Linked DNA regions of Yarrowia lipolytica. The protein of the gene in region 3 interacts with the protein of the main gene of each other region in a pairwise test. Links are inferred from orthologs where the notes say so. Each region holds a gene or a part of one and is shown on either strand. Other genes may lie near its edges. The genes, in order: YALI1_E25826g, YALI1_B07843g and YALI1_E34708g.

Evidence for each region.
Region 1: the proteins of YALI1_E34708g (region 3) and YALI1_E25826g interact in binary tests that used the Saccharomyces cerevisiae proteins (3 or more experiments, as listed by UniProt). The link is inferred for Yarrowia lipolytica from reciprocal best matches to the Saccharomyces cerevisiae genes VPS45 and PEP7.
Region 2: the proteins of YALI1_E34708g (region 3) and YALI1_B07843g interact in binary tests that used the Saccharomyces cerevisiae proteins (3 or more experiments, as listed by UniProt). The link is inferred for Yarrowia lipolytica from reciprocal best matches to the Saccharomyces cerevisiae genes VPS45 and TLG1.

What each region holds. Positions count from the first base shown.
Region 1 is NC_090774.1:2,576,538-2,587,327, forward strand, and holds YALI1_E25826g (uncharacterized protein), read left to right. Parts: upstream 1-6,099; coding exon 6,100-7,674; downstream 7,675-10,790. Other genes in the region: YALI1_E25761g (uncharacterized protein), read left to right, coding at 1-1,728; YALI1_E25812g (uncharacterized protein), read right to left, coding at 2,120-4,720; YALI1_E25859g (uncharacterized protein), read right to left, coding at 7,966-9,417; YALI1_E25866g (uncharacterized protein), read left to right, coding at 10,049-10,790. UniProt on the Saccharomyces cerevisiae protein: Required for vacuole segregation and vacuole protein sorting. Possibly part of a complex which tethers the vacuole membrane to microtubules, either directly or via kinesin or dynein-like motor proteins.
Region 2 is NC_090771.1:780,883-790,500, reverse strand, and holds YALI1_B07843g (uncharacterized protein), read left to right. Parts: upstream 1-6,197; coding exon 6,198-6,857; downstream 6,858-9,618. Other genes in the region: YALI1_B07915g (uncharacterized protein), read left to right, coding at 1-2,515; YALI1_B07864g (uncharacterized protein), read right to left, coding at 2,641-4,026; YALI1_B07853g (uncharacterized protein), read right to left, coding at 4,739-5,113; YALI1_B07852g (uncharacterized protein), read left to right, coding at 5,293-5,799; YALI1_B07809g (uncharacterized protein), read left to right, coding at 9,531-9,618.
Region 3 is NC_090774.1:3,464,791-3,475,309, reverse strand, and holds YALI1_E34708g (uncharacterized protein), read left to right. Parts: upstream 1-4,447; coding exon 4,448-6,187; downstream 6,188-10,519. Other genes in the region: YALI1_E34745g (uncharacterized protein), read left to right, coding at 804-2,270; YALI1_E34711g (uncharacterized protein), read right to left, coding at 2,378-4,192; YALI1_E34686g (uncharacterized protein), read left to right, coding at 6,684-7,754; YALI1_E34650g (uncharacterized protein), read right to left, coding at 8,169-10,319. UniProt on the Saccharomyces cerevisiae protein: Essential for vacuolar protein sorting. Function in membrane traffic between the Golgi and the vacuole.

The DNA.
Region 1 (10,790 bases), about 890 kb from region 3:
CGGGGACTGGTGTACATTGTACACTACCTGATCCAGAACGGAGCCGATCCGCTGAGATCAGACGTCCAAGGCTACAACGCTCTGCATCTCGCCACCCATTCGTCCAACGTCATGCTGCTGGTTTACCTGTTGCATCAGGGCCTTCCTGTCGATTGCCAGGACCCAAATGGGCGAACCGCTCTGCATTGGGCAGCCTACCAGGGAGACGCTCTGTCGGTAGACGTGCTGCTGAGATGGGGCTCGGACGTGAAGATCACAGACACCCAGGGCTTTCTGCCATTACATTGGGGTATTGTCAACGGCTCGCGAAACTCGCTTGCCCGTCTCATCGAAGAAGGATCCGACATGTACGCCAAAAGCAGTGACGGAAAAACTCCCCATGTCATGGCCGCTGAAATGAACACCACCGCACAGCTGGAGGGCGCTCTCGACGACTGTGGACGGTTCCCCGACGGTAGCCAAAAAACAAAATACTTCGACGCCCGAACCACTAATCTCTTGTGTTTCTTCACCCCCTTCATTCTCATTTTATTGGGCCTGGTGCTGTGCACCTTCTGTGGCCCCATTTTTGGGATCATTCTCACCGTGGCGACCCTGTTCGGATCTATTAAACTGCTAAAGACACTTGTGCTACCGTCTCTTTACAACGGACATGCTGCTCTACTGAAATCACCCTTCCAGGCAGGTATATTCACGGGCTCGGCCTTCTGGGTGACAGTCAAGTACCTAACTTCCGTCCTTCCGGCTACTTTTGCCTCCCACCCCATTCTCAACTTTTTCTTCGCCTCCATATTTGGTCTGGCCATGTACTGCTTCTTCAGATGCATGTCCATGGACCCCGGATATATCCCCAAGCTTTCTGGCATCACCGAGCAGAAGGAGGTCATCGAGACGCTCATTGAGCGGGGCGAGTTTGACACGCGACACTTTTGTTTCGTTACCTACGTGCGAAAGCCGCTGCGGTCAAAGTTCTGTAGACAGTCGAAACGAGTCGTGGCCCGGTTCGATCACTTTTGCCCCTGGGTGTGGAACGCCATTGGAGTCCGAAACCACCGCATGTTTGTGCTCTACGTGCTGTTTCTGCAGATTGGCATTCCTCTCTGGTTGGCTCTCAACAGCGCCTACTTTGGAGAGCTGCTTGAAATCAAGCGATGGGATCCCCTGGAGTTCTACCTTGTCATCTGGATCTCACTGCAACTCATCTGGATCACGTTCCTGTCCTTTGTGCAGATTTTCCAGATCTGCAGGTCACTCACCACCTCCGAAGCCGTCAACCTGCAAAAGTACGGCTACATGGGTGCTGATGACTACTCGTCGGTCCCTCTAGACCACTCTGCCGCCACAGCATCAGCCAAGTCCGTTATGAACGCCCATGGACACGCTGCAAAGTCGCCCTGCTTTTCCTCGGTGCTCAAACTGCTTGGAGTCGATCAGTTTGTGGCTACTGCAGGTGAAGCCATCAAGCATCGGGACAATCGGTCGTGGAAGGAGAAGAACCCCACCGACTCGGGCGCCGGAACTAACTGCTTCGACTTCTGGTTCCCTAATGGCAAGTTTGACCTCCTGGCAGTGTTTGAAGCTGGTAAGGGTGGAGGAGCCATTGGAGGCCATGCGGTGGACTACTACAAACTGTGGGACTTCCCCGATGTGTCTCCCAACCAGCAGCAGACCAACAACCGGTCCACTCGAGAAGATGGAGAGGCTCTTCTGGCCGAGTCTCAAGTTTGAGCATTGATAGATAGAGGAACGCTAACGTATATAATAAGCTTGTATAAAGAGAGAGTGTGTGAGAAACGTACTTGTACTTGTACATGTGCAAATATTTGAGTATACAGTATGACAGAAATTCATTTTTGAGTACTCCTTGTACTTCTCATAAGAGACACTCAAAACTACAATCAATGTTACTGAGTTTTGTTGAGTCTCTCTACTACAAGTAGTAAGTACAAGTATGTACTAGTATTTATTTTTTAAACTTTCAGACGCACAAGTTTTACACCACCTAAACAAGATCACCATACTTGTACTTGTATGCCAAATAGCCATAACTCATAATAAATTTACAGTACAAATACATATCCAACCCATCCGACCATTAGTAATTCCCCTTTTCTCCTCTTCAAATCACATACTCTCCCTGTTCCATCAACTGCAATGCTTTTTCCGTGGGGTTTCGAACCCGTCCTGACCGGCTCGTTGGAGACATTGAAAACGACATACTGAGAGGCTCCTTCTTCACTTTTGGAGACATCGATGGAGTCTTAGTTGCTGCTGGACTCGGTCTCTTCGCCTCAGGTGTCTTCTCGGGAGGGATTTCTTCTTCCCGAGAAGACTTTCGGGGTCTACCTCTTCCTCTAGGAGTCGGCGTGGACCCAGCAGGACTAGGAGTAGATGCATCAACACCGTCCGCAACTCTGGTTTCAGCCACCTCAGCCTCCTCCGCCTCCTTCTGTCTCCTCTCCATTGCCAGCTTTTGCTTCCAATGTAGCTTCTTCACCTTCGGGGTGCCTGTTGACGGAGTTTCTACTGTCGGAGTATTTACTTCCACTTTCTCATGTCCCACGGTTCCCCTTCGAGCTCTCTTCCAAGCTCGTTCCTCTCGTGAAAGCTGAGCCACATTGTCCCGCATCTCAACAGGCTCAGGAGCCGACTTTCTCGACCGCTTGGGTTTCTCCGGCAGCATAGAAACCCGTCCAGACCGTGTCTGTCGACCGGCCTGACTCCACTTCTTCAGCTCCTTCGGACTCATGTCCTCAATGCGCATACTGGTGATTTCCTGGGCAGGCTCCTCTTTGGTGTACTCCCACGACCAGGCCAGCGACTTGCGCTTCTTCTGCACCAACAAACCGTCCTCCTCGAAAATCTTACGATTTTTGGCACCAAACTGCTGAGCCACCTGTGGCTTGGAGAGACCCCAGTCCTCGTCCTCAAGCTTCTTTGGAGGCCGCATCATTAGCAGACACAGGGGAAGGGCATGCTTATGGTTAGTATACGGCCAGGCAAAGCTGTGGATAGCAGCATGTCTGTGGCACCGAGGACAAAAGTGGCCAAGTGTCTTGGGCCCGTCAGTGAGATTGTAGACTGAACAACAAGACACGCACGTCTGCGTTGCCCCAGAAACGGAGAAGCCATACACCCCCGTCAGAGCATACCTGGAAGGATCATAGGCCTGTTCCCGAGCAGCCTTGCACAGTCTGTCAAAGCTGAGATCTTCCTGGCTGAAAGACCATGATCCTGAGTTCTTGCGCTGAGCCCGTACATGTCGTTTGGACCGTTTGGAACGAGAACCGTCACCGTCGTCACGAGAAGACTCCTCATCTCGCGACATAGCAGTGCTATCGTCTCGCGACTCACTGCCGCTCACCAGGCAGCTCTCCATATCCTCACTTCCGCCTCTCTCGTCTAGAACCGACAGTCGGTCGTTGAACCGCACTCGTTCGTCCGTGTTGTGCATGCCAAGATAGTGGTGGTTTCGTCGGGCACTTTTTGGTTGAATGAACGGCGGAACTTGTGATTCGGGTGATGTGGTGGTATCTGGGCTGGGTAGAGACGGGAACCTGATTTCAGCACTGGCCCCATTCAAAATGGGGTCGATCGTTGGGTCCTGAAACTCATTTGACGACTGCGACAAAGCTGTTGTTGATTCATTAACAGGAATAGCCTCTTGAGCAGGAACAACAGTGGACACCTCAGTGACAGTGGCTTCAGACACTTCTCCAACAGGTACAGGGAGAGGGGTACTATCTGCTGTGTGAGACTCGATTTTAGGGATCAATGGCCAGTTCTTGCTGGTGGAGATCTCAATAGCTTCTTCCGAAGTTTCTCTAGATGATTCTGACGAGCCTCGACCTCCCTCTCTGAGTTCGGGGGTCCCTCCCTCTCTCTGCTCTTGCCGTTTCTTTCTCCGTTGCAGTTCAATTTTTGTTAGCTCATCCATGTCGTCGTCGCTCTCCTCCTCACTAGACTCCTGTGGGCTTCCATACAGGCCTCTGGAGTTCTCCTCGCATGTCTGGCACAGACACTCCTTGTTTCTGCGTCCGAAATAATTTTCTGCGTATTTGACAGTGATTTCGTCGCCCACATTGATGGGCTTGACAGCCTGGATCACCATGCCTGAAGGAACAGGAACAAACCGAGCGTTGGCACTACAGTCGTGGTTGACAAATCGAGCAGGGCCTAGCATGAGACAGTTTCCGCCTCTTCGTGAGGAGTGGAGCACAGAAAAGTCGTTGGCAAGGGCCAGCTCTTCGTCCTTGGTCATCTTGGCCAGACAACCAGACAGACCGACAATCTCGTCTCCCCGGTTGTATCTGACTCTGGAGATGACACAGGACTCTCCTCGGTTGGAGCGGCACTTGTAACGCATGGACACGTTGATTTCAAACCCGCACGACGCCTTGTAGATGGTCAGGTATCGAACTGTGTGTCTTTGGAACTCTTCGTAAGCCAGTGGACTAAGCCGTCCTCGGTATCCTCTGACCTCCTTGAGCTCCAGAAACGCGTTGGTGGCCTTCTTCACCGCCAGATTAGCCGCAGCTCCGGTCTCGCAGGCGGCAATGGAGCGCACCAGGTCGTGGATATGACGATCTGAAATGCCGCGTAACGGCTTGTAGTGCACGGAGGCCTTGCGGACCTCGGCCCAGTAGAATACGCGCTCCAGCAGCAGGTCGGTGAGAGCGTCGTCGATGGTTGCCAACTCCCCGGGCGTGACCGTGATCATTGTGCTGTTGACGGGTCGTTAGATGGTCGTTAGTATGGCTTGTGTACAGCTTTGAATTTAGCAAAAGATGCGTGCTTTCATGCATGTGGGGGTCACAGTGGTGTGGTTGTTCTGAAGGGTGTGGGGAGAGTGTGTATATAAGAGGGTGGTTCCCGGGTGAATATTCGACATGGAAAACTCGTTTTATTTCTTTCAGGTGGTATTTACGTCGTTGCCAGGGGTTTTTCTGCTCTACAACTTGTGCATTAACTGTCACCCATCTGAGCTACTACTCCTCATGCGCCCTACACCCATAGCTGACTGACAAGGGTGATTCATAAAAGAGAGCTTGTATGAAAGACTGTGTATAACAGATATGAGGCTCTACAGTATGAGGCTGTGGTTACCGAGCCGGGTTGTACCATCACTTTTTATTGCATATCCTGTAATAATCAGAAAGATGGTGCAAGAACCAAAAACAGCCGTATATTCGTATGTACTCGTTCTTGTTCTATCTGTCCTGTCACACGTCAGCGGAAACTAGCCAACTAGTGGCTTATAGACGTGTTTTGAGAGCCGTACTATACAGAATCGTATCTCTGTCTCTGTTGTTTACGACTCTAGAAACCAGAAATGGTTTCAGAGTGGTCTTCAGAGTGGTCACACACAACCACTTATGCCCGAACTGCATCCCATCGCATGTTTCAGATCAGGCCGAGACGGTTTAAATCGGGTTTAAATCACCCCAGAGCGTTTGAATTCGATCTTGAGGGGATAACGACCCACCAACTAACGACATACAAGTGCTACTGGACGAGGTTGAGTACATTTACTGTATACAGTACCAGTGTTAAGTACCGTACGGTACTTGTAGTACTGTCAGAGTTAGAGGCAACAATATTTACTGTTTTGGTGTGCAGTACATACGAGTGTACTACTGGAATCGACTGAGATGGGGGGGGGATGTAGAGAGTCATCGTTGGGGTATCCGTACAGTATACTTGTACCACTGTGCAGGTGTAGATCTGTCAAATGAAAGGTGATTAAAGACTTCTCCATATCAAATCCCTTCTTTCTTTTCTTCGGAAGCCCTATCTTTCCGCAACTCCAGTTTCACCTTGTTGCTACAGTAAATAAACGCTATCCTTGACTTTCTTTCAACTAAATTAGGTGCAATGCTTACCCAAGTTTGTTAGCCGTCTACACCACAGCATCGGTCACAACTCCACCAGTAGACTAGATATACAAAATCAAAACACATATCCGCACTCCACGTAATCACTAAACCTCAAAACCTGCCCTACCTTTTCAACAACTCCCTAACCTGCCGACCCTCACATGCAACCCCGCCATATTACTCAGCTTATCACGCACCACCCACAAGTACACTCTATTTCAGCATGCGCAAAAAACGAGTGATCGGAACCAAGGTGGAGCCGGTGAAGGAGCCCAAGGTGGTGCAAACAAGCGCCGCTCCCACTCCGCCACCCCCGCCGACCCCGCCGGTCGTCTCCACGGCGTCCCCAGGCCCCGAATCACACTCAGCCACTTCGCTGACATGTCCGATTTGCGAGGAGACAATGTTGACGCTGATGCAACTGAATCGGCACATTGACGACGTACACGGTGATGGCAAGGTAAAGGGCAAGACACGGGCGTCCAGCGAGAAACCACACACGAAACCGCGACCCACCGACGAAATGGTGACCAGACGGCACTGGAAGCACCCCGGACCGGGCCAAACATGCCACTATCCGGACTGCAAACGCAAGCTGGGAGCCAGGAACGGCTCAAGGCACTGCCGACATTGTGGAAACATCTTCTGCCACGGCCACAGTCGCTACAGAATGAAGTTGAGCCGAGATGCTCACCACCAACCAAAGGGCGGTATCTGGTGTTGGGTGTGCAAGACTTGCTACACGGGCAGAGAAGGGTACAATGACACGACAGGTACTGAAAGAGATCTGACGCAAGAGTTCAAGAAAAAACGCCAGGCGAAAATCGACATCCAGGAGCTGTCCGTCAATAAGCTGGAAAACAGACTGAGACGACTTGCGGAGGAAAGCATAGAGAACGAGAGCTCGGGACCCTGGTGGAAACCCAAGGCGGCTGTCACAGCCTCAGTACCATGGCAGGAAGACTCAACACAGCCCAATTGTCCGGAATGCCAGGTCAAATTCACCTTTCTGATCCGCCCTCATCATTGCAGGGTGTGCGGAAAGGTGGTGTGTGGACAGACATCCACACAATGTTCTCTTCCTGTTGGTGTGAACATTTTAATCAACAGTCTCGATATGAAAGAGGAGTTCAGCGACACCATTCCAACAGATTGCGAACCCATACGGATCTGCATGACTTGCAAGAATACAGTCTTTGGTAGACGTAACTTTCAGCGGGATGTCAACTCCGATCCCAGCGAGCTGCTTAAGCTGTACAACACCATGACCCATCTGACCACTTCCATCGAAAACATGATGCCTCGGTTCCAAAAGGAGCTTGAGGAGACGATTGCGTCCAAAAAGATGGCCGGTATGCATCCCAAGGACATTTTGGCAGCGTCCAAGCTGCGTAAGCGTCTTCTCGATACCTTTTCGCAGCTAGATTCGGCTGCTAGAAGAGTAGGAGCACTGGAGGGACTGTCTCCTACAGAAGAGCGAATACAGCAACAGATATACACAGCTGCGGTGTCATTTCTACAAGAGAAGATGCTGCCCTTGAAAACGCTTCCCAAGGTGCTGGGTAGTGAAGCTACAGCCCCCGAGCCAGCTAAACCCCGTCCTCCTGCCAACTACAAGGCACTTCAGCAACAGCTGGTGGTCATGGAGGAACAGAGGTTTATGGTGGAGAACATGATGCTGGAGGCCAAGCAGAGGCGAAAGTACGACGAACTGGGGCCTTTAGAGATGTCTGTGAAGGATCTCGATAAAGAGATTGAAATTCTGAGGAAGAGGCTAGGAGATGAAGCATTTGTTTAATCTCAGTTTAGAGCAGCACCACGAAGGAATATTTGTACTCATAGAAAGTGCTAGCGACCCTATGGCATGATACTGTATGTATCAGAACAGTAATGAATAATGAATGATGACAATTATGTATATTACTTGTGGCGGATTCGGTGACTGTAGATAATTGTACAAGATACAACTATACTTGAACATCACATACGAGTGCGGAACATTTCAGAACGTGAAAATGTTCTGTGATTCTAGATCAAGTCTGTAATTACTCCATACTCTATCCAACATACATTAGCTATACTTGTCCTTCTAAGACCGATCGAAGAGCCCATCATCATCATCGTAGTCGTCTCCTCCGCTGACGGACCAATCGTCCGAGTCGCCCATTTCGCTGTCATCGTCATCATCGTCATCTTCGTCATGGTCGTCAGTGTATTCGTCGGACTCCATCAAACCCTCCAAGGACAGCTGTAGCATGGTTTCGTTCTTGGCCACCTTGCCAGCCTCCACCTTGTATCCTCCTTCAACATTGCAGCCTGTGAGTTTGGCCTTGGTACCGACTGTGGTCTTAGTTCCGACCAGACAGTTCTCCAGAGTAACGTCATCGGCAATGAAAGCGCCGTCAAAGATGACACAGCCGTTGATTCGACATCGTTTGCCGATGGTGCAGTTGTTTCCAACCACAGATCGCTTTATACTGGTTCGCTCGCCCAGCTGGGTCTCTTCGCCGACCAGAGAGTCGACACCAACAGTGGCAGCTCCCTTAACAGCTGGAGCGGGCTTCTGGGCAGTGGCGTTGGCCTTGGCTCTTGCCTTCAGAATCACTCGGTTCATTTCCATGTATGCAGACAGGTTGTTTGCTCGTGCAAAGGTATTGGAGTCCAGAACGCACAGAGACACAGACTTGAGCGGCTTCGCATGTGCCCACGACCGTCGGGCAATGTCTCGAACCACTCGGTCCCACTGTCGGCCTTTGGCCAGAATGGTGTGTGCCTCCTCCTGTTCTTGTCTGACAGGCGACGAAGATCGGGTGTCGGGATCTTCGTCTGTGGAATCCTCCTCAGGGGCAGCCTGAGTCTCGGTGATGACTCTACACACGTCGGCAGTGCAGAAGTAGACGGACGCATTGAGCAGCTGTGTGGAGACCAAAGACTTAGGGAAGTGCCACAGCATGGATCGGCGGATGGGCATGGTCTTCTTGTTCTCAATGTAGTCACGCGAATACGAGTCCAGCAGCCGCGGGGTTCGCGAGTCCAGCGATGAGTGCACCGTCACGTCCTTGAGCAATGACTTCTTGTCCACGTTCTCCAGGGTATTGGGGTAGTAGAAGGCTGTGAGAAGCGAGTCCGAGTCTCGGCTTCGGTAGGTGTCGACCAGCGAGCTGGCGGGAATGTCTGTGATAAAATCGCAGCAAACCACAATGAAATCAGAGGGTTCCCCTCGAGTCAGCTCCAGAATGAAGTCTCCAGACTTCGCATCGGTCTTGGAACAGATAGTCACGTTGGAAGCCACAACTGAGGTGGAGTGCTCAGCCTTGAAAGAGTCCACGTAGGCGGAAATCTCCGCCTCGTCAGCTGTAGAACAGCACACAAACACCTTGGGGTTGGGGATGGTCTCACACCATTTGAGGGTGTAGTCGATCACAGGCACGTTGGCCATGGGAAGAAGGGCCTTGGGCACTCCAGACGCTCTCACGGACGAGAGAGGTGCCATGTTTTTGCCCTGGCCGCACAGAATGAACACTTTGAAGTCGGCTCCCATTGTAGCAGAGGAGATTTAGCACAGAGTGGTGGTGGTGTGTGCTTTATGTGATCTTTTATGTGCTTCTTTTCAATGCTAATAAATTTCACTGCACATGGAGCTTGCATCGGAGTTTATTTGACGGGGATGGCGGTGTCTGTAACAAGATGTGGAGATATCCTATCGATAAGATAATGATGGAAGCAGATTGTCTGAGAAATTACAAGAAGAATGCACTTTTCAGATTATATGTGGGATCTATATTGGTAGAGTTGGATAGACCTATATTCAAAGTCATTCTGAAGTAAAATGAAAGATAGTTCAACTGTTGGGTGAAGTAATGTGACAATTTGGTTAAGTTACTTATACGCTTATGTAATCAATAATTAGATGTACACCTCTTTCTCCTCAATGGGGTTTCTCACTTTATTTATGGATTTGTCATTGTGTCTATATTACAGCACATCAACTACGGGTACCTCTACTAGATCTGTGGTTGCATAACCACCAAGAGCGAATGGGTCCACCCATACCCATCCAGACTCTGTTACCTCACGTAATCCTGTGGAAGGTGTCAGAATACGAGGTTTTAGAGTAGTTGTGGAGTAATGGGGATATTGAGAGCAATAAGTGAGGAATATAAAAGCGATTGATGATCATTTATTCCCCGATATTCTGTCTATATTTGTCATTACTGTACTCTCACCTTCACTCACCTCGCCACCATACGCCACTCTTCTACCAAACACTAATATTGGGAGGTGCATCACCACTTCACATATTAGAACCTCAACGCTCCAGTTACTACATCAGTACAACACACCACAACACACACAACATGGAAAACGACCCGCTGCTCGCAGCTCTCAACCAGGAGGCGCCCGAGGTGGCTGCCACACCCACAGATCCCGAGCGGGAAAAGGCGATCGAGTCGTTCAAGAGAAAACTCAAGGAGCATCGAGAGTACGAGGTCAAGCTCAAGGACTTGCGACTGGGCATCAGAGACCTCGAGCGCAAATTCGACAAGACCGAGGACGACATCAAGGCGCTACAGTCGGTAGGCCAGCTGATTGGCGAGGTTCTTAAGCAGCTGGATGAGGAGCGGTTCATCGTCAAAGCCTCCAACGGCCCCCGATACATTGTGGGCTGTCGGTCCAGCATCAAGAAGGAGAAGCTGCTGCAGGGTGTGCGTGTGTCTCTGGATATGACCACTCTGACTATCATGCGAATTCTTCCCCGAGAGGTCGATCCTCTTGTCTACAACATGACCACGTTTGAGCCTGGAGAGCTGACCTTCTCCGGTATCGGTGGCCTCAACGAGCAGATCCGTGAACTCAGAGAGGTCATTGAGCTGCCTCTGAAGAACCCCGAGCTGTTTTTGCGAGTCGGAATCA
Region 2 (9,618 bases), on a different chromosome or scaffold from region 3:
CAAACAGGAGAACGAGAAACTGCGACACGAGAGCCAGCTGCTCCAGACACAAAACCAGTCGATTCGAGATACCCACGGCAACTACAAGGATCAGATCAAGGGGCTTTCGCTGGATGTGGAGAAGCTCAATGAGCAGTTGGAGGCTGCCAAGCGACAAGGCAGAGAGCTGGAGGATAACAAGAGCACGATCGAGTCTGTGAAGCAGGACCACAAGTTCGCCTTCGAGGCGTTGAGGGAGGACCACAAGACTGCGGTTGACATTCTGAAACAGGAGCATCAGACTGCTCTCAGAGATCTCAAGGAGGAATTGAAGGGAGAGCACAAGGTGATTGTGGACGACATGAAGGCTGATCACGAAACTGCGCTTTCCTCGCAGAAGGAAGCTATCAAGAGAGAGTACCTAGAACTTGTCGCTTCGTTGAAGAAGGACCACAGTGGACATGTTGACACTCTTAAAGCTGAGCATGCTGATATGTTGTCCTCACTCAAGTCTGAACATGTCAGTATGGTTTCGTCACTCAAAAAGGAGCATTCTGATCGTCTGGATACCCTTGAGGCACGACACAAGGACTTGATCAGATCCAACAGTGACACCATAGAGAGCCTCAAGAAGAACATGTCTACCATTGAGCTGGCTCGTGGTGGAGAGGATCAGAATAAGGTGGATATTGAGCAAGCTGTGAGTGTTATTAAGGCTGACCACGTCAAGGAAATGCAAGCTCTCAAGGAGGTACATGCCAAGGAAATGGCGTCTCTGAAGGAGACTCACTCCAATTTTGCCGAATCGCTCAAAGAGAGTCATCTGAAGGAGCTTTGTGCTCTGAAGGATGCCCATGCCACCGCTGTGGAAGAGTTCAAGATCCGCCTTGAGGGTGCTGAAACAAACTACAAGGACCAGCTGGCACAGTGGCGAGAGGAGCATAAGACTGCCATCACTGGTATCACAAACTTCCGAGATGATAACATGAAGAAGATTGAAGCCGAATACCTTGAGCGGATTGCGGAGGTCAAACAGTGTCATTCTGACGTTCTCACTGAAGTGAAAGACCGACATGAGAAGGAGCTTGAGAGTGCACAAAAAGAGGCCACTATTCACCTGGCTACGATCGAATCTCTGAAGGAAGAACACAAGAAGGAGATGTCTTTAATGAAGGCAGAGCATGCGGAAGAGCTCACACAACTGAAAGAAGCCCAAGCCAGAGAGAATGCTGTTCTTAAGGAAGAGTATGCAAAGGGGACTGCAGCTGCCGAGGAGAAACATGCCAAGGAGATGGGTGCTGCTAAGGAGGAGCATGCCAAGGAGCTGGTGGCGATCAAGGAGAAGCACGGCAAGGAAATGGCTTCTGTCATGGCTGAACATACGCAGACTCTTGCCTCCCTTGCTGATGATCACAAGCAGACCACCTCTGCCGCACAAGAGGAAAACAAGAAAGCTCTTTCTACAGCCCATGAGCAACACAAGAAGGCTGTTTCTGATCTTAAGGAGGAGCACAAGCAGACCGTTGCCTCAGTAACAAAGGATTATGACGGCAAGGTGTCTTCACTGGAGGAGAAGCATGTTACTGCTATGGCCTTACTGAAAACCAAACACGAGGGTATGGTTTTGTCCCTGAAGGAGGAGCACGCCAAAAGTCTTGTTGCGTCTAAGGAGGGCTTTGAAAAACATCTTGCTGGTGTTAAGCAAGAGCACACTGAGGCTCTCGCTGCCTTCAAGTCTTTGAAGGAGGAGCACACTGCCGAGGTTTCTGAGATCAAAAAGACTCACGCTGAGGAGACGCAAGCTCTTAGAGATGGTTTCAGTTCCCTCACCGCTGTCGCCACCAGCTTGGGGGACCAGCTGCATGCATCCGAAAGTACTGTTGGTGACCTGGAGAAGAAGTTGGCCGAGGCCACGTCTGTTCTAGAGCAGACTGTTTCCGATGCCAGCGTAAACATCAAGGAGTCGTGGGAGTCTACAGTTTCTGGGTTGAAGCTCGAGTCTGACCTCGCTGCTTCTAAGAAGGAGCTGAAGGAAGTTACTGAGAAGCTCACTGTTGTCAAGGAGGAGCTCATTGACATCACGTCCAAGTTGACTGAGGCCAAGAAGGAGCACATAGAACTTACTGAGACAGTGTCTGAACTCCAGGCCCGCAAGAGTGAGCTCACCAATGCCAACGACGGTGCCAATGAGTGTCTTCGGATCAGACTGGAGTCTCTCAAGTCTCTGGAAAACCGTGTCAAGAGTCTCAACGACAAGACTCTGGACTCTCTGGTGGACCGAAGCAAGTCCATTTTGGGCTCTGCCACCATGTCCATTCTCAACAGTGGACAGCTCAACTCCCAGGGCCAGCCCACATCGTCGAAACGAAATCTGTCTCTTGCAGGCAACGTCATTCGTGAGTCTGCCACTTTGTTGAAGCCTGATCTTGACGATGAAGATAAGGAGAACCCTATCATGGTCATGAAGCGGGGCATGGGTAGTGTTGGAGGTAAGGGTCGAAGTGTTAGCATGTTCCATGATGCGCATAATGCCTAGAAATTCTATGTAAATGACGTACAGTAGATCAATACTAGTATCATATCATATCTGATCCAAAATTAGTACTCGATTGAAATATATATATGTACATAAAATGCAAAGCCGCTGCTGTATCATCTGGACTAAAACTTTTCCCGTCCAGCCTTGTTCACACTTCTGAAGCTTGCAACACCCCACTCTCCCAGCACTCCGAGAGCAGACACTCTCCATCCTCTGTAAAGATCCTCCAGGGGCATCTGGCCAGACAGCAGGTGCCACCAGACAGCCACAGTGGAGGTCTGGACAACGGGCTTGACAATCATGGCACCAGAGGGCAGATCCAGGTGGTTCACTTGTGCTCGTCGCAACATAGTCTCCAATGGCAGCTTGACGATCATGGTCACGTACGCGCTGGCCAGGTTGAACAGTCTGTCAAGCACGGGGAAGTGGTACGAGTCAATGCCCAGCTTGGTGATTTTCCAAAGAGGTAGAGTGTGTCGCACAATAGATGTACAGAAAGAGCCGAGGAAAGTGGGCACCAGCAGCTCGGGAGGGCACAGAAGCGACTTGAGCTCCACGAGCGACTGTCGCACGGAACGGGGCTTGGTGGAGAGTGTAGACACAATCAGACGTGTTCGGATGAGATCGAGAGGAGCCACAAGGAGAGAGGTGATCACTGAAGCGCTGACGGCTACAACGATAGAGGTGATGGGAGTAGGGGAGTGAGCGACCTCTTCCAGAAACAGAGGGTCCGGAGAGTTAGAAATGGAGCTGAAGAATCCAGAAAACCATGCCTCCAGAGTCATTGTAAGAGCTCCAAGCAGGAAGGAGGCGTTGAGAGCTCTCCATGGTCCCCGAACTCCGTCAACCTCGTTGAGAGCCAGCAGAATGTCCCAGTTGCGTGTAGTTCGGGCCTGTAGCTGGCTATGGTAGTTCTTGAGGAACTTCTTGAGTCGCTTCTTCTGGTCAGGTAGAGGGTCTGAATCCAGTACAATAGGGGAGTCGCCTCCGTGACTATGATTTCGGCTGTGGGTTCGAGGACTCAAGTCTCCCAGCGTTTCTCTATGGTTGCTTTCGAAATAGTCAATCTCTTCGTCCTCCTCTCGCTCCTCTTCCTCCTCAAGAGCCACTTCAATAATGTGGTCCTCGACCTCGGCCGCGCTCTCCACTCGTTGCAAATGACTCCAGTCTCCTACCTGCAGCAGTAGCTTGCTGACCTCCCAGGGCTGACTCAGAAAGGTCTTGCCGTAGAGCTGGAACAGCGAATGCATGGCATTTCGAACCGACTCGGACGTTCCGGTAATGTCGTAGTCAATCTCAATGCCATCAAACAGATCGCCGAAGTTGTGGTTGCCCACATTGCGGGTCAGTCGGCTGCTGTTGCCACCTTCAAAATGTGTGTAGGACCCAGAGGTAGTGGCTCCGCCAGGTGCGTCGGAGAAGTTGGGGAACTGTCGCTTGGTGTACAGCGTGCCTGTTCCAAACGTATCGGCGTTGTAATAGGGCCGTAATGTGTTGTCGGTCGCCATGGTGGTGGTGATGATAGCGATAGAATAGTACGATTAATCTCAGCTTGCCATATGCACAATTTTAGTTTAAATGGGACAACAGAGTTGGGCCAGAATCCCTGTGCTGGAGGTTGCTGGGACAGCTCGAGTACCAGCACTTGTAGCAAGTGGGTTGGTGATGGCGGGGCTGGTTTGTGGCCCGGATTTTGGGGTCTGGGTCTTCTTTTAATACTTTTTTTCTTACAACTCGCTGTTTGCTTATATAAGCAGATATGATGATCAAGGCCGCGAGGTATATAAAAATAAAAATAAAAATAAAATAAAAATAAAAAATGGAGACTTTCAAGGAAGAACGAGGGAATAATACGTTAAATATACCTCTATTGGAGGATATTTGTATAATACAAGTACAAATACATCAGGTCAGTTTGAAGTCACGTGATGACATTAGCGGTTTGTCGTATCATCATCCCATATAACCAGCATAACCAGCTTACAAGTACAAATCGTACAAGCACTACAAGTAGTACTCTTACTAATGTGTCTTTCTCAGATCACTGACATTTGCCAATCTATACTCTTCAAACAAAACAAATACCAATATCATTATAATTTACATGATGGCAGAAACAAGCCTCGTAGTTACCATTCGCGCCCTTCATTCTACCAATCCATGGCCAATGCACCTTACACGCGATGGTGCACTGTCTCGATACCCTCCTATGCAATGCAATCACTTCTTGTAGTTGATGAGGAACTCCCCCAGAGCCCGGACGGGGTCCTCAGGCTTGTCCTTGGCAATCTGTCGCATGCCAGCCAGCAGGGCGGGACTCACCTCCTTATTGAGCCACAGTCGCGTAGGAGCGCCGTAGTTTTCGGCAGGGTTTGGGAGCGAGGCAGTGGAAGCCGTCTCCTGCTTGATTGGCTCCGCCGCGGGTGTGGATGTGGAAGTTGGTGGGGTAGCCACCGCTGAGGGAGTGTGTGTAGATGATATTTCAGACACGGAAGCAGCAGGGATGGCAGGCTCGGGACCAGGCTCTGTCTTGGCCACAGCAGTCTCCGGAGCCGCAGCTGCAGGAAAGGCGTCAGTCATGGGTGTATCAGCCATTTTCTTGTCTGTATTCGATGCGGGAAGGGATTGTGGAGTCGTCTTTTTGATTCTGGCGATGTCAGCGCACTGTCTTAATAACGAACCTTAATCCCAAACTCTATCCCCCACACGTTATTCGGCTCGAACTAATTAATCCGAAAGCACCTTCTCCACTCCCCTTCACTTCACTCCCCTAAATGGCCACACCACTCCCCTTTGATCTTCCGCTGGAAAAAATTGACGAGCAGGAAGGCGAATGCATTCTCATGGGCTTCAACGCCGACTACGCGTTCGAGCTGGGCTCCCAGATCCGAGAACGCGCCAAGAAGGCAGGCAAGTGCATTCTGATCGATATTACCACCGTCACCGGTCTCACCTGGTTCCGGGCCGCTTCCGGACTGGGAACCAACATTGATAACCAGCACTGGGTGTCCCGAAAGCGAAACGCTGTTATTCGATTCGGTCGAAGCAGTTTCTTTCTGGGATGCAACATGAGACAGAAGGGCCGAACTCTGCAGGAGGCCTACGGAGTCAGTGACACTGAGTATGCTGCTCACGGAGGAGGATTCCCCATTCGCGTCAACGGAATCGAGGGCCCCGTCGCTGTTGTCACTGTCAGTGGTCTCCCTCAGGTTGAAGACCATACTCTTGTCTACCAGTGTCTCCGTGACTTTGCTGCCCAGCAACGAAAGGAACTGTCCTAACTAATTTAAGACTTTTGAGATGTTGATATTTCCCATTGCTAAGTACATCTTACACACGCGTTTTCGGGCGGCATCTAAGCGCTGGACTCCCCAATTACTTTTCGGAGACGGAGCGAGTGACGTGGAACGTGATTATATAATGGACTAAAATGGTGTTGCAGCTTCAATTTGATCTATAAGGAGGTGAAGGTGCATTGAGTAAGTACACCAGATCATCTCTGTCTCTACCATTAGCCCATACTTGTACTCGTACTCGTACTTGTACATAATCTCTACATGTGAAGGTCTCAGTCTCCCCCAACAAATTAAGGTTGGCTGCGGATATTCCCATTATTGCAGCCGTGGCATGAGGTAGCACCAGTATCATACTCCACAACAACTTTTCTCGCACAAACACAATGGATCCTTTTGTACAAGTCTGCGCGGATGCGCAAAACCAGCTGACGCAGACGCGAGACCTGCTGGAGCAGTTCCGGTCGGACCCTTCAAACCACAATACCCTTCAGGATCTCACAAACATCACAGAGGAGCTGGCAGAGACGATATCCGACCTTTCACAGTCCGTCGAGGCCGCCCAGGGCCGACCACAGCAGTTTGGTCTCAGCAGCGAAGATATCCAGGACCGTAGCAAGCAGGTTGCTCAACTCATGTCGCAGCTGGGTCAGGTACAGAAGGAGGTGAGCAAGATTCGGAACACAGGCACGCCACATGGCATCTACTCCGATGAGCCAGACGACACGGAGGCCCGAACTGCAGGGCTCACCCAGCAGATGTATGCAAGCCAGATCGAGGAGCAGGACAACGCTCTTGATGGCGTCTACAACACGGTGAACTCGTTGCGGGAACAGGCCAACGTCATGTCGCGGGAGCTGGAGGACCAGTCGTATCTCATTGATGACCTAGATCGTCACGCCGACTCGGCTGGCTCTCGGTTACAGCGTGGTCTTAAGAAAGTGGATTGGGTGGTGCGAAAGAACCAAGAGACTCTGGGTTCATGCTGCATCACTCTGTTGATTGTGGCCCTAATCATTCTGCTTGTTCTGCTCATTGCTCTGTAAGGGCGTTGTAACGTCAATAGCTTAACAGATAACGATTTACGATTGAACTAAGTAAGGGTACCACGCACATCAGTTTAGTGGTTCTTCTCCTCCCGAAGATATCCACTCTGGGGGGAGGGTTTATGAAAGAACACTCGCATTGGAGCTTGGGGCACAACTCGCAGAGTCAGTGTCGTGAGGAGAAACGGCTACGACGAGCTATTATATTTCCACTTCAATTCCCTTTCGGAACCACTGTCCGTGTTTCCGTCTCCATTTCTCCTATTTATTCCTCCCCTCTATGTGCTTCTGCACGTTGTGTGGGTATAAACCACATTTAGCCATAATATTGAGGTTCCCCCTTACTCATATAGACATACAGGAGATTGATTGACTGTGATAATAATTGTTTGTTGTTGCTGCCTTTTCCTGTTTTTTCAATTTTTTTCAATTTTTTTCAATTTTTTTTCAATTTTCAATTTTCTTTCAAATTCTCAATATTTTTTCGATTTTCCGAATTATTCTGGGCATTTGACTCGTCTCTCTTGCATCACGGAGCATGGATGCGCCGAGCTCCGTCCCAAGTCGATCGGACCGTGTCTTGGTGGTGGGATACATCGGAGGATCACTCCTACTCGTACAGTACAGTAAGCGGATTGCAAACCGGGTAAGTTACTATAGAACCGCTGCAGCTGGGTATGTATTTCTAAGCAGTTCCTGGTATGTGAGTTCCGCATGCGTCTTTGAGCGGCTCGAAAAACCGGGAAAAAGAAACAAAAAACACAAACCGGGTCAAGCCCTGTAGGGGCTAAGCTGGTACTTGTTTTTGAGACCCGGTGGACGTAAATCGAGCACACAATGTGCTTGTGTCCCTGAGTCAGTCGTTGCCCCCCCCTCCCTCCCCCCAGTCGGCACTTGACAAGCCCCCATTGGTGCCAAAAAATAGTCTTCCGATTGCTTCAGTCAACCTAATGCGACACACACACCACATGAAAAAGAAAGCAAGTTTCGGCGACCGTATCCCCTTAACAAGGGCATACAGCTAATATGGGTGACATTGTACCAGCACGAGCAGGAGGCGGTACCTGGCTGCGGCCGCAACGGTTTGGGGGGGGATTGCGCAACCTTATGCGACCAGTGCAAGTTGGGGGACGTAATTTCGTCGGGTGGATCCGCAGCATTACAATAGAGGGGCTAAAAGGTAGCTTAGCGAAACAACAAGAGGAACCGCAGACGGTTTTGGAGGGAGAGACTAGCTACTGGATTGTACCAACAGGGGACAATCATAGCTGACGTATGCACTGTACAAGGACCCTGATACCGCCGCCGGTAGGGATATGGAGATAAGTTAAGTGACTCAGGCACCCCTGACAGATGACGATGAGAAACAAGCAGGCCATTGTGGTGTCACATAACGCGCTTGTGTGGTGATGTCTCACTCGCCTCACACGATAATCTGACTAATTAATGTGTTGGTCTCAGGCGATTTGCACAGGAGCGCCGGTATCGCAGGGGTCCGCTCAAAATCACATCAACGGAGATTGACAACCCCGGCGGCAGCGGAAAGAATAGCCGTGCCACCTAAATGGCAACTCCGCGATTGACGAGACCACGAGATAAGAGCCTGTTGTGCAGCGCGCTAGGCCGGAATACACACAATCGCATGCCTCGCATGCCTCGATGGTTGCCATTTCCGTCCTGGTACACGGTCTTCTTAAGCTATCGGAAGCCACAAGTGTACGATGCATACGGTAGGAGCCTGACGGAGCCTGACGAGCGGGGTGGCTATTTGCAAGCCGGTCTCTGCTATGATACATGGTGTGGCGAGTGTGGATCTCGCCAAACTTATTCCCTGAGGTTGCCTATCGTACCCTCCTCCGCCCACCTTCCCCTCCAAGCTAAACATCCCAAAAGGACCTTTTGGGCATTTCAAGGTATTTCCTTACCCTCATATTTAAACAATAGTCACCCCATTTCCACCTCCCAGTGCACGTTTTATGCCTGGCTGGAAATTTAATTGGCCGTTTGTAAGCATTTTCATGTACTGCGATATATTACCATACAGGTCTCTTCGGGGGCGCATCCACGGACTGCAAAACCAAAAATAAAATAAAAAAATAGACACAAAACCCCGAAACAAACCTGGAGATCCGAAGCTCTGGACACAAGATCAACGTCGAAGCCTCCACCCGCACTGACTCCCCCCCCCCATATATATCCTCGTAGCCTCCTCAACGTGGTCTCTCTCTCTTTCTTTACTCCCAGCCCTTTGACTACTAGAGAACATCTTATTTCGCACAGGCCTAAAAATTCTGCGCGACCCTATGCACAGGAGCCGACATAACGACACATTATACTGTGATAAATAGCATTGAACGGTCAAACGCAGCACCCCAACCCCACCAGGTCATACGACGTCATCGCGATATATTAGCTAGGGCGACAGCTTGCGTGCCTTCTTCCTCACACCCAACAGCACGTCTTTCGACCCAGTGCGCCACGACGCTGGACCAATTATACACAATCGACAGGGAAAAAGACAAAAGTCACTTTGTAGAAAAACACACATCCACATACTACACACTCACTCACCCTCACACACACACACACACACCACATTCACACTCACCCACACACACACCACTCCACACCAGGAAACACACATACCCACAGCCACTTCACTCTTGTCCGGCAATGTCTGAAAAAGAAGAAATTGTCATTGTGGGCGCCGGCATCATCGGTGTGTGCACGGCATACTATCTGCTGAACCACCCCAAGTTCG
Region 3 (10,519 bases):
ATTGGGTGGAGAATTGTGTTTGACTGGGAGTTGTGGCAAGTCCGATCGGCTCCGATTGTGTTCATGGTTACTGATGCTAGCATAACGTTATTTCTGAGGTTATCGATCATATCCTTAAAGGCTGAAGTCCACTATGCACGTTGTACTGTAGGGGCTACGAGTATAACACTGTTGTGGAAGAAATGACTGCTTGATGATTATCCCCCTCCGAATGCCACAGAGTTGGGAGGTTGAAGGATCTCACGTTAAACCACTACAAGTACGAGACAGTTGTACAAGGGGCATGTTGTATTATACGTATATATTCTAGGACAATATTGAGAAGACGTTTGCTTCCGTAATGCGATATTTGCTCGCCTTGCCTTTCAACTTCCTCCACCAAACACCTGTGGTCTGCACGCTCTCCACCGACTCATCCTCCACCCAACATATCCTCCACCCTACACCTGTGTATGTACGGACTCGTCGTTTCCGGTCAGGAACTCAAGAGGCGATTATGGTTCATGCTCTTTGTCGAAGAAGTCAGACAATGTGACATATATTAGTCCGATGGTTCTAATATATTGGCCCTTGTGTTTCAACCGACTCGGATATCTTTCCCATCTTCAAATAAATACCACTTGCACACCGGGGCTCTTGGCAAGGCTGTGTTGTCTTTCATCTTCCAACGAACCCAAAGGCACATTAGCAACTGGAGTGTGGGGAAGCATGCACCCTATACGCATGTCTATCATTACTCAACATCAGATCACACCACGCGACAATAAAAGACGACTTGACCATCAAATCTAGCAGCGAAATCAATGCACACAACCCGGGGAAGTACTTCTCTGAAGCCCATCTCCGTCAAGGAGACGGCCAAAAACATTGTGGACATTGTGGTGGACCCGGACTGTGCTAAGGATGTCTACGACCTAGGGGATCATGTCAAAGGCCACATCCTTGTGGAACCGAATTATCGGCACATTGCTTTCGATCAGCTGCGACTTTTTTTTACCGGAACACAGTGGACTATTCATCGGCGGGCTGCACAACGTCAAAAGGCCACTTATGTGTTTGTCAAGGAGGAATTACGCATGGATGAAGAATGCTTAGACACAGCTAATGGAGAAATAGTTCCTGCGTTGCCACCGACCGATCCGGGGGAGTTCCGAATAGGACAAAAATACAGATACAAGTTCGAGTTTCATATACCTGGAGAAATTTCGGAGGCTCTGGACAACGGCATAGCTCTGACTAAACGACTACCACCGAGTATAGGAAGCAACTCCATGTTCGAAGAGACTCAAGGAGAAGATATCCCGGGAAAGGTTGGTGGTATTCAATATGAGGTGAGGTTTCAGATCATGGCTGAAATCACCATGCGATTCTATCTCTATATTAAGGTCATCCCCGCATACCCAGCTGCCGTACATTCTCTCAACACAAAGTTCTTCTTGGAACCACAACCTTCGACATTTATTGCAGAGCGCAAGTTTGGAGGAGGGTTCTTGAAAAAGAAGCCAATGACGTATGTGAAGATGGGTATCAACACAACACCGAGTATCGTGGCTGGAGGAGCACCTACTCTGTACCTTGTTCATGTCTTGTCAGACAAGCCTCAGGTTCTCAAAAAGGCTTGGGCCACTGTCGAAGGTATTACTTACTGTTCTCTGTCAGGAATGCAGTTTATCCCCTCAGACTTACTGGTGAAGCGTTACTCTGATGTGCAAAGGATAGAAGAGATCATTCAAAGAAGTATGGTGGATCTGAAGATTGATTGGAATGACTCTGACTCGTCTGACTCGGATTACCCCTACTGTTCGGCTGTTCTCGAGATTCCAGTATCAGCATCAAAAACCATTATCCCTTCATTCTATTCAGCTCTCATTTCGCGTCAATATCTCGTGCGCTTTGATTTGGAGTTCGAGGTTGGAACAATGTCTTTGACTGTTCCAGTAGAGATCACCAAGCACAACAACAGAGACTACATGGCCAAGCTAGATAAAATGAAGGCTGACACGGGACGGTTTGTGGGGGATTTCGTGCCTGCATACTCTGCCCAGGACCCTCGAGGAGAAATCACACGAACAGAAAGCCTGAGAAGCGTCATCTTGTCGCCCGAAAAGGATCTTGAAAAACAGATCGTAGAACAACAACGATACAAGACATTGGTGGAAAGAAGCAGCATATCCTCAACACCAGCCTCAGCAAAGTCTAGCCATGTCAATTTATACTCCTTGAATGGTCACCCCGGGGTACAAGCTTCACCACTGTCTGCTCCTATGTGATAAACATAGTGAAGTAGCTACTAAGTACAATTAGAATACAGGACGTTTTTGGGCTATAAATAATATATAAGATACTAAGTACAATACAAGTTATACGCACAGTGAAATTACTCGCCATTCTTCATAGCAAGTGTAGCCCTTTGGGCCTGATTTGCCAGACCTTGACTCTCACTTTTAACTCCCTTGAAGAGGGTTGCCAGAATCTCATTGACATCTCCTGTAGGGGCCTGGAGGTCCTTCTGCAGCTGACGTTGTTGCACCTCTCTCCGCTTGGGATTCACCACTTTTCCATTCTCGTACCACCGGCAAATTTCATGTCGTTGAAGACCCTCCAGAATTGGATTGTAAAAGGTTCTCACGCTCTTGTACTGCTTATCGATAACCTGGTACTCAGCCTTGCCATTGGCCAGTTGATCCGGCATCTCAGTAGCAGGTAATCGTGGAGATCCGTGCTCGTCGATAGCGTTCTCTCTCTGAAGCCACAGCTTCTGCTGTGTTCGACTTCGCTGTTCTTTGCGAGGAGTGGAGTTGGGGGTTTTCTGTGGCGATTCGCTAGTGACCACGGTATTACTTCCCAGGGTGTGACCCGATGAGCCGTCAGGATTACTCAGCACGTGGTGGCTAGAGAGCTCGAGAGTAGGAGCCTTCTCGGTGGCCTGCTGACTTAACCTAAGCGAGTCATAGGACGAGTTTCTAGATGCAGGGGTCATTTTGTTGTTAGAGAGAGGTCCAAGGCTCCTAAGCAGACCCAGTCCCTCGAACGATGGGTTCCTTGAAGGATTTCGAGAAGGGTTTCTGGAATTTGCCCTCGAGGGATTACAGGAGTCACTGACATTCTTGAGCTCAGGGGAGTCGGGGAACTCTGACTCGTCGTACACCTCGCAGATATTCTCCTGGCTACTTTCGGGGTCTCTGGGGCCATCTTTCTCGACAGACTTACCAAGTCTCTTGTTGGTGATGCCAGGCGCGCTCTTGGGGCTCACGGGAGAATCAGCAGATCCAGGCTGGGCATGCTCATGGTGCTCCACATGTCCTCCATTCTCGTCGATCAGTACATGTTTCTCCTTGTGGATGTTGTTGCTGGTCCTGCGAACCTCTGGCTCTCCTGCCATCTTTTCCTGCATGGCCACCACGGCCTCCTCTCCTTCAGCCATGGTCTTCGACTCCGTGTCAGCCACCTCTCCGGGTATGTCGTTTGCGTAGACCCCATTCTGCTGGTTTGCGTCGGCCTGCTCCTGTTCATTGATCTCTGTTCCGATAGCCAAACGGGAAATGTCTCTTGTTAACCCATTGGCTGCAACTCCGTTATCCCCGTTATCCTCGTCAACCTCCTCCTCGTCCTCTTCCTCAGAGCCCTCATCGTCGCTCACAGGAAGTCCGATGACGACCTTGCCGCCCTGCCGCAAATGCACGGGTTTGTCCTGCTCCTTGGACTTCTGTTGCTCCTCGTTCTCCTTGTCGTTGGCCTCTTTTGATGAGGCAGGCTTGGGAGATGTCTCGTTGTGATTGAGCTTGTCGCTACTGGCGGAGGTATCCTGCTTATTGCTGTTGCCGGAGTTGGTTCGGGTCATGCTGAGATTTGGTCGTGCTAGCCGTTGAAGCGAGTCTGACGATCGAGCCTTGCGCTTAGTGAGACTATCGCCGCTCCCCTCCTTTTGGAGCCCCGAGAGATGGGTGGAAGAGCCGCGCATTTTGGTGAGGTTGCGGGCCGAGGCAGTTCGATGCTTGCTCGATGCCACGTGTTGTTTTTTGACTACCATGGGCCTGGTTTTTGCTGTTGCGACTTTATCGTGGGGTTGTCGAGGCTTTTCGATGCCGCGCATCATGGAGTACATGAGGCTCACGTAAGCAGAACCAGATATACTGTAGGCACTCGTTGCAACGCCTGGAAAGAAAACTGCAATTTGAGTAATCGGGCTCATCTAACTATTATGTATATATTTATATCTACATCCCATAGTTTTACCCTTGCCTTCTATTCAGTCATGTTTTTATGTCCTATATATGCCATTCCAGTCCCCACTTCAAATGGCTTCGCTCTTTATCTGCGTTGGCTCCGACTTCGTAGACTGACACCACCTACCCTAATCCACCATGTCTGACCTGCATAAGGCCACCGCTATCACACCTGCTAGATAGTATCTCTTTCCAGACGGTGAACGAGCAACCGACAGAAAATGAACGTCACGGAAACTGGTAAGGAATACATTACCACAATGGTCGGGGACAAGTCTGGCAAGCTCAAGGTGTTGCTGCTAGACGGGGAAACTACCCCTATAGTTTCCATGTGCACAACCCAATCGTCTCTACTTCAAAATGAAGTCTACCTGATAGACCGAATCGACAACCCCAATCGAGAGAAACAACGACATTTGGCGTGCATTGTGTTTATCCGGCCCAGCAACGACTCCATTGCCAAGCTGTGTGAAGAGCTGCGGAACCCTCGATATGCCTCTTACGAGCTCTACTTCTCCAACGTGGTCAAAAAGTCGCAGCTGGAACGACTGGCTGAAAGTGACGACTATGAGGTGGTCAAAAAGGTGCAGGAGAGCTTTGCTGACTTCCTGGCCGTTAACAAGGATCTCTTCAACTTTTCTCTCACCAGAAACTCGCTCTCCATCTACTCCGACGGAGGGTGGAACCCCGAATGTCTCAACAGATGCACAGAGTCATTGCAGGCTGTGCTGCTGGGTCTCAAACTGCGACCTCAGATCCGATACGACGCCAATTCCAATATGGCTCGAAAACTTGCCGAAGAACTGGCCTACGGCATCAAGCAGGAAGAGAACCTGTTCAACTTCAAAACTCCCAGGGACTCGGCGCCCGTCCTGCTTATTCTGGACAGAAAGAACGATCCCCTCACGCCTCTATTGACGCCCTGGAGTTACCAAGCCATGGTCCACGAATTCATCGGTATCGATAACAACCGAGTGGATCTCCGTAACACGCCTGAGATTCGAGACGAGCTCAAAGAAATTGTTCTTTCTCAAAATGATGATCCTTTCTTCGCTGACAACATGTACCATAACTTCGGAGACCTGGGCCAATCCATCAAGGATTATGTGTCGCACTATCAGTCTAAGACACAATCAAACATGGACATTGAAAGTATCGCCGACATGAAGCGATTTGTGGAGGAGTACCCCGAGTTCCGACGACTCTCAGGTAACGTTTCCAAACACGTTACTCTTGTGGGAGAGCTCTCTCGAATTGTCGAGAAAGGCCAGCATCTGGACGTCTCCGAATTGGAACAAACCCTTGTGTGCTCCGACTCCCACAATGACTCTCTCAAACAGATTCAGCAAATAATCGCAGCGCCCTCCATCTCCATGGAGAACAAAGTGCGCCTGGTTGCTCTTTACGGTCTGCGATACGAGCAAAAGGACAACAACTCTCTCAAGCTCCTGTGTGAGATGCTAGGACAGTATGAGGGACAAGACGCAGTGCAGGCGGCTCAGGCAGTCATTAATTTCGCATGCCTCGCCCAGAGACAAGAGGCTCTCTTTGAAGAAGGTTTCATCGCCAAGGCCAAGGGAAACATCATGGGTCTTAAGGGTATTCAGAACGTGTACACTCAACATCGGCCCTTGTTAGAGAAAACCTTGACCAATCTTGTCAAGAACAAGCTGCGTGAGGCTACACACCCCTATGTACGGGGAGCAGGCCGGGGCCCAGTTTCCAATAATGGAGTCTATGAGGATGACGTGCAGGAGGTAGTGGTTTTCATTGTCGGCGGAGTCACGTATGAGGAGGCTCGTCTTATTGCCGAAATTAATTCCCAGTCGTCTGTCCGTATTGTTCTTGGGGGCACTTCCATTGTCAACTCTGGCGAGTTTATTCAGGAGTGTTTGGACCAGAACCACAGAGGACTCTTGCGTGGCGCAGACCCCGAAACCCGACTTAGGCAGCTGATATAATTTATATTATTTTATGATTGATGATGGTGCACTTTAGGCATTGAGTGCCTGGGTCAAAATTGGTGAGGTTACATAGCAGATTGGAGATGAGTTGTACAAGCTACCTCATGCGGACATAAAAGCCGACAATAAAGGTTGTCGTAGTTGCTGCGTAGACTAACCCCCTGCACGTCAACAGTGCATTGTTTCCTTCTACACTTTCTATATTTGAACTGCCAGATATATACGAACAACATGTCAGGGGCAACATAACTGATTCCAGCCAGCGATACCAAAAACTGAATGAGAGCAATTTCAACCACCTCTCGAGCTGTCGCTTTTGGAACACTGGTGAAACATTGATACCTCTTGTGGCAAGTCCAGGGTACCATCGCTACCACCTTTGGAAAACGAACACTCTCTCTGACGATAAACCTCTGACGATAAGCATGTATATATAGGCCCCTTTGGCAATGACTCACTCTCAGACAAAACATCTACTCTCTCACTTTTGACTATGCAGCTTTCTGGAATCATTCTCACCACTCTTGTCTCTGTTGGCGCAGCATCTAAGGCCACCACCCTTGCCGTGGCTGCCACCATCCCCACAGATGAGGTTACTGCCGCCAGTGAGGAGACTCTTGATGATACTTACTACCAGTATATCAATAACCAGGTTATCTACCAGCCCGAGGACAACCGAAAGACTGACAACCGACACCAGGACAACCGACGGGGTGGCCAGTACTCTGACAACCGATCTGACAATCGAGATCAGGACAACCGGTACCAGAACAACCGAAACCCCTCTGACAACCGTCAGACTGACAATAAGTTCCAGGACCACCATCGGGATAACAGATTCCAGGACAACCGAGACAACCGTCATCAGGACAATCGCCACCAGGACAACGATGACAACCGTTTCCAGGATAACCACAAGGACAACAAGTTCCAGGATAACCGAGACAACAGACATCAGGATAACCGAGATGCTGATAACCGAGACAACCGTTTCCGGTACAACCATCAGGACAACCGACAGGACAACCGACAGAACAACCGACAGGACAACCGACAGGACAACCGACAGGACAACCGACAGGATAGCTCCCGAAAGCTCCCGCAGTCCCAGTATAACCATAACACTGGCCCCTTCATGGTGACTGTTTCCAAGCCTGGTGACAAGCTGCACAACCAGCAGCTCAAGGTTGTGTCCACCCAGATCCAGGTCGGAAACAAGAAGTACGGCGAGCACTTCACCATCAATCTCAACAGTCCGTCAAATATGATGGCGAATGTGGGCGGTGACACGCGACCTTCCCACATCAAGGTTGCCCCCAACGGTCAGCTACTTGTTGTTGCCGGTGCTCCTACTGGACAAGACACTTGGTCTTACTCTGGGAATACCAACAAGCAAATCGCCCTGTGGTACAATTCGAACTCTGGCTTCTTTGCCTGCCCCAACGCCAACGACCCCAGCAGCGGTGGACGAGTTGTTTACGTTGATATGGGCCAGAAACCCGTTTGTGGTCGAACTGCCGAGTATTTCAACCTTGTTGGTGGCTCAATGAAGTACATGGACTAACTTGATCTATATCAGATGGCTTATCACACGACACGTTATCACACCCATAGGTGCACCCCATGTTTTATCAATGTAGCTAACCATATAACTCTCAATTCTTTTACCTGATGTGCTTTTAACAGTGCCTCTAGTGTAAACTTGTTCAAGTACGAGTACGAGTAGCTACTATATAGGACAACCATATATACTGTAGGTCATTCTCGTGTCCCATTTCTAAACTATTTCACGTCACTACAAGTACTAATCCTAAACCGCCAGTGAAACCTCACGGAGGATATCACATGAACATTTTTTACTTTCTATGGAATGTATGACAGAAATAGGGCGGGCTGTGTCTGGACTAAACTGGACTCGAGCGTGCCACTTTGAATTTCTCAATTAACTCTAGGTTCTCGCAGTAACAAACAGAGGAACCTAAGACTCACCAAGCTTGACCTTTTGAGTCTTTTTGATGCCCCTTCGTACGGCATCCTTGATAGAGGCGGAGTCCATGGGCTTCAGTAGCTCAAAAGAACAAAGGAGCTGCTTGGACACGCACATGACAGCTCCCCAGTTGTCGAACTCTCCACAATAGTTGGGAGCGGAGAACACGGTGACAAGCTTTCGCTTGTTGAAGAACTCGTATCCGTCCTGCACAACCATGTGAGCTCGGCACACTAAATCAAATTTGAACTTTGTGCAGAATTTGTTGACAACAGATCGTCCAAAGCAATACGACACACCGCGGTCGTTCTCGCTCCACTCCATGATAGACCTCTCAGGGTCAGACCACAAGAGATCAGACAAGAGACCAACATCAGGGACGTTGGTGGGTCGAGTGATCTTTCGGATGTCGTCCATGGAGTTGAGGTAAGGAGACAGACCACCATGAACACAAAATATCTTGCCGCCGATAGTAGCCGCAATAGGAAGCGTGTTGAACGTATCGACAAACGACTTCCAAATCTTGGTCGTAGCTCGACGCTTGCATTCGTCGTAGAAACCATAAACCTTGGTGATGGAGGCACACTCATGGTTACCTCGCAGCATGAAGAAGTTCTCGGGGTATTTGACCTTGAAGCAGAAGAGCAGAAGGATGGTCTCCAGAGACTGTCGTCCTCGATCAACGTAGTCACCAAGGAATAGGTAGTTGGTCTTTGGAGGGAAACCAGACATTTGAAAGATTCGAATAAGGTCTCCAAACTGACCATGGATATCTCCGACAACCTTGACGGGTGTACCGAGCTCCAGCAGAACAGGCTGGCTCATGAACACGGTTCGAGCCGCAGCACAGAGCTGGACAATCTCGTTTGGTCGCAGGGGCACGGGGGCAGCTCCTCCAGATTTTCCTCCAGCATCGAGAAGTCGCTTGATGAAATCGTTGACATCAAAGGGCAAAGGCTGTTTCTTGGTAGCCTTCTTGCTGGAGGCTGTGGACGCAACCGAAGCTCCCGACACAGCAGGCTCAATTTTAGGGTTCTTGATGTTTCGTGCGGGGGATCCGGTGACACTATCAACAGACACACTCAATGACGACTGGTAGCCAGCAGGAAGGTCGACACGCTGGGGGGTTGAAGCAGAGGGCTTGGAGGACAGAGCCACGGCGTTAGCTCGAGAGGAGCCAATGTGGGTGGTGGGAATGGGAGACTTGAGGCCGGAGAGATCGGAAAGATCCTCTTCGGAAGAGGAGGAAGACTGAGAAGACTGGGGGCTCATTTTGGACTTGTCAGCGTTCTCGGGGGATGCGTTCGAGGTGGCCGAGGAAGACGCAATAGAAATGGCGGAAAGAGATCCCTCGGAGGTTACATTCGAGGTGAGTGATCCGTTGTTGTCGTGGTGAGAAACAGCAATGACAGGAGTGGCGACAGGGCCCGACGAGCCTGGAGGGGGGAGGGTGGTGGCGGGAGTTCTTTTGGCAGAAAGGAACTTCGAGTGCGCTAAGGAGTCATTATTACCTGGTATCGAAATGGGTTCGGTATGTGCTCCGGGGGCTGTGCCAGGTTCAGAGTTTGAGTTTTGAATGGGAGCAACTGGTGCGGTGAGTGACGAAGTCGAGCCCTCAGAATTGGTGGAGGCAAGTGAGGCGTTATCCGTGTCCGACGATGACTGCGAGTCATGAGGTCGGGAAATGACCACCTCGCCCATGGCTGCTACGAGCCCTGCTTCCTCTGCCTTGTCTCTGCGAGACTTACGCTCGGAACCTGTGGGGTCATGTCGCATATCAGTCTTGGCGGACTTCGAAGCCCCTGACGATACTCTTCGCTTGGGTTTGCTCATGAAGTCGGCTGCAGAAGCGTTGTCGATGGAAAAGTCGTGATCAAAGGACATGGAGGTTCGCTCCTTGCGAGAGCCTCCAGTCGAGGACTTGGACGAGCGGCTTCGTCCAGTCGGGGGTCGAGTTGAGGATGATGAGCTCTTTTGGTGGTGAGGTGTCTTGTTGTGGGCGCTCGTGCCACTACACCCACTACTACTGGGGTCGTCGCCTCCCTCGTCGGATATGACGCCTAGACCGGCCCCAGAGGCCTGGCCGTTAGTAGTTGTCAGAGAGGAGGTCGAGTTTGCATTTTTGGAAGGGGACTGGCCCATCGTATCGTATCAGGAAAGAGATACGGTGCTGGTGATGACGAAATGTTGAGGTTGGTGCTTTACTCTGTCCAAGACTTGAGTGTTGCTGAGTCGTCTAAAAAGAGAAAAATTCTTTCGAAAGGACTCGAGAAGGGGGGTTTGGCTAGTTGCTGGTTGGGAGGCGTTGTTAAAACGTCTGCTCTCTTAATACAGTTTTTTCT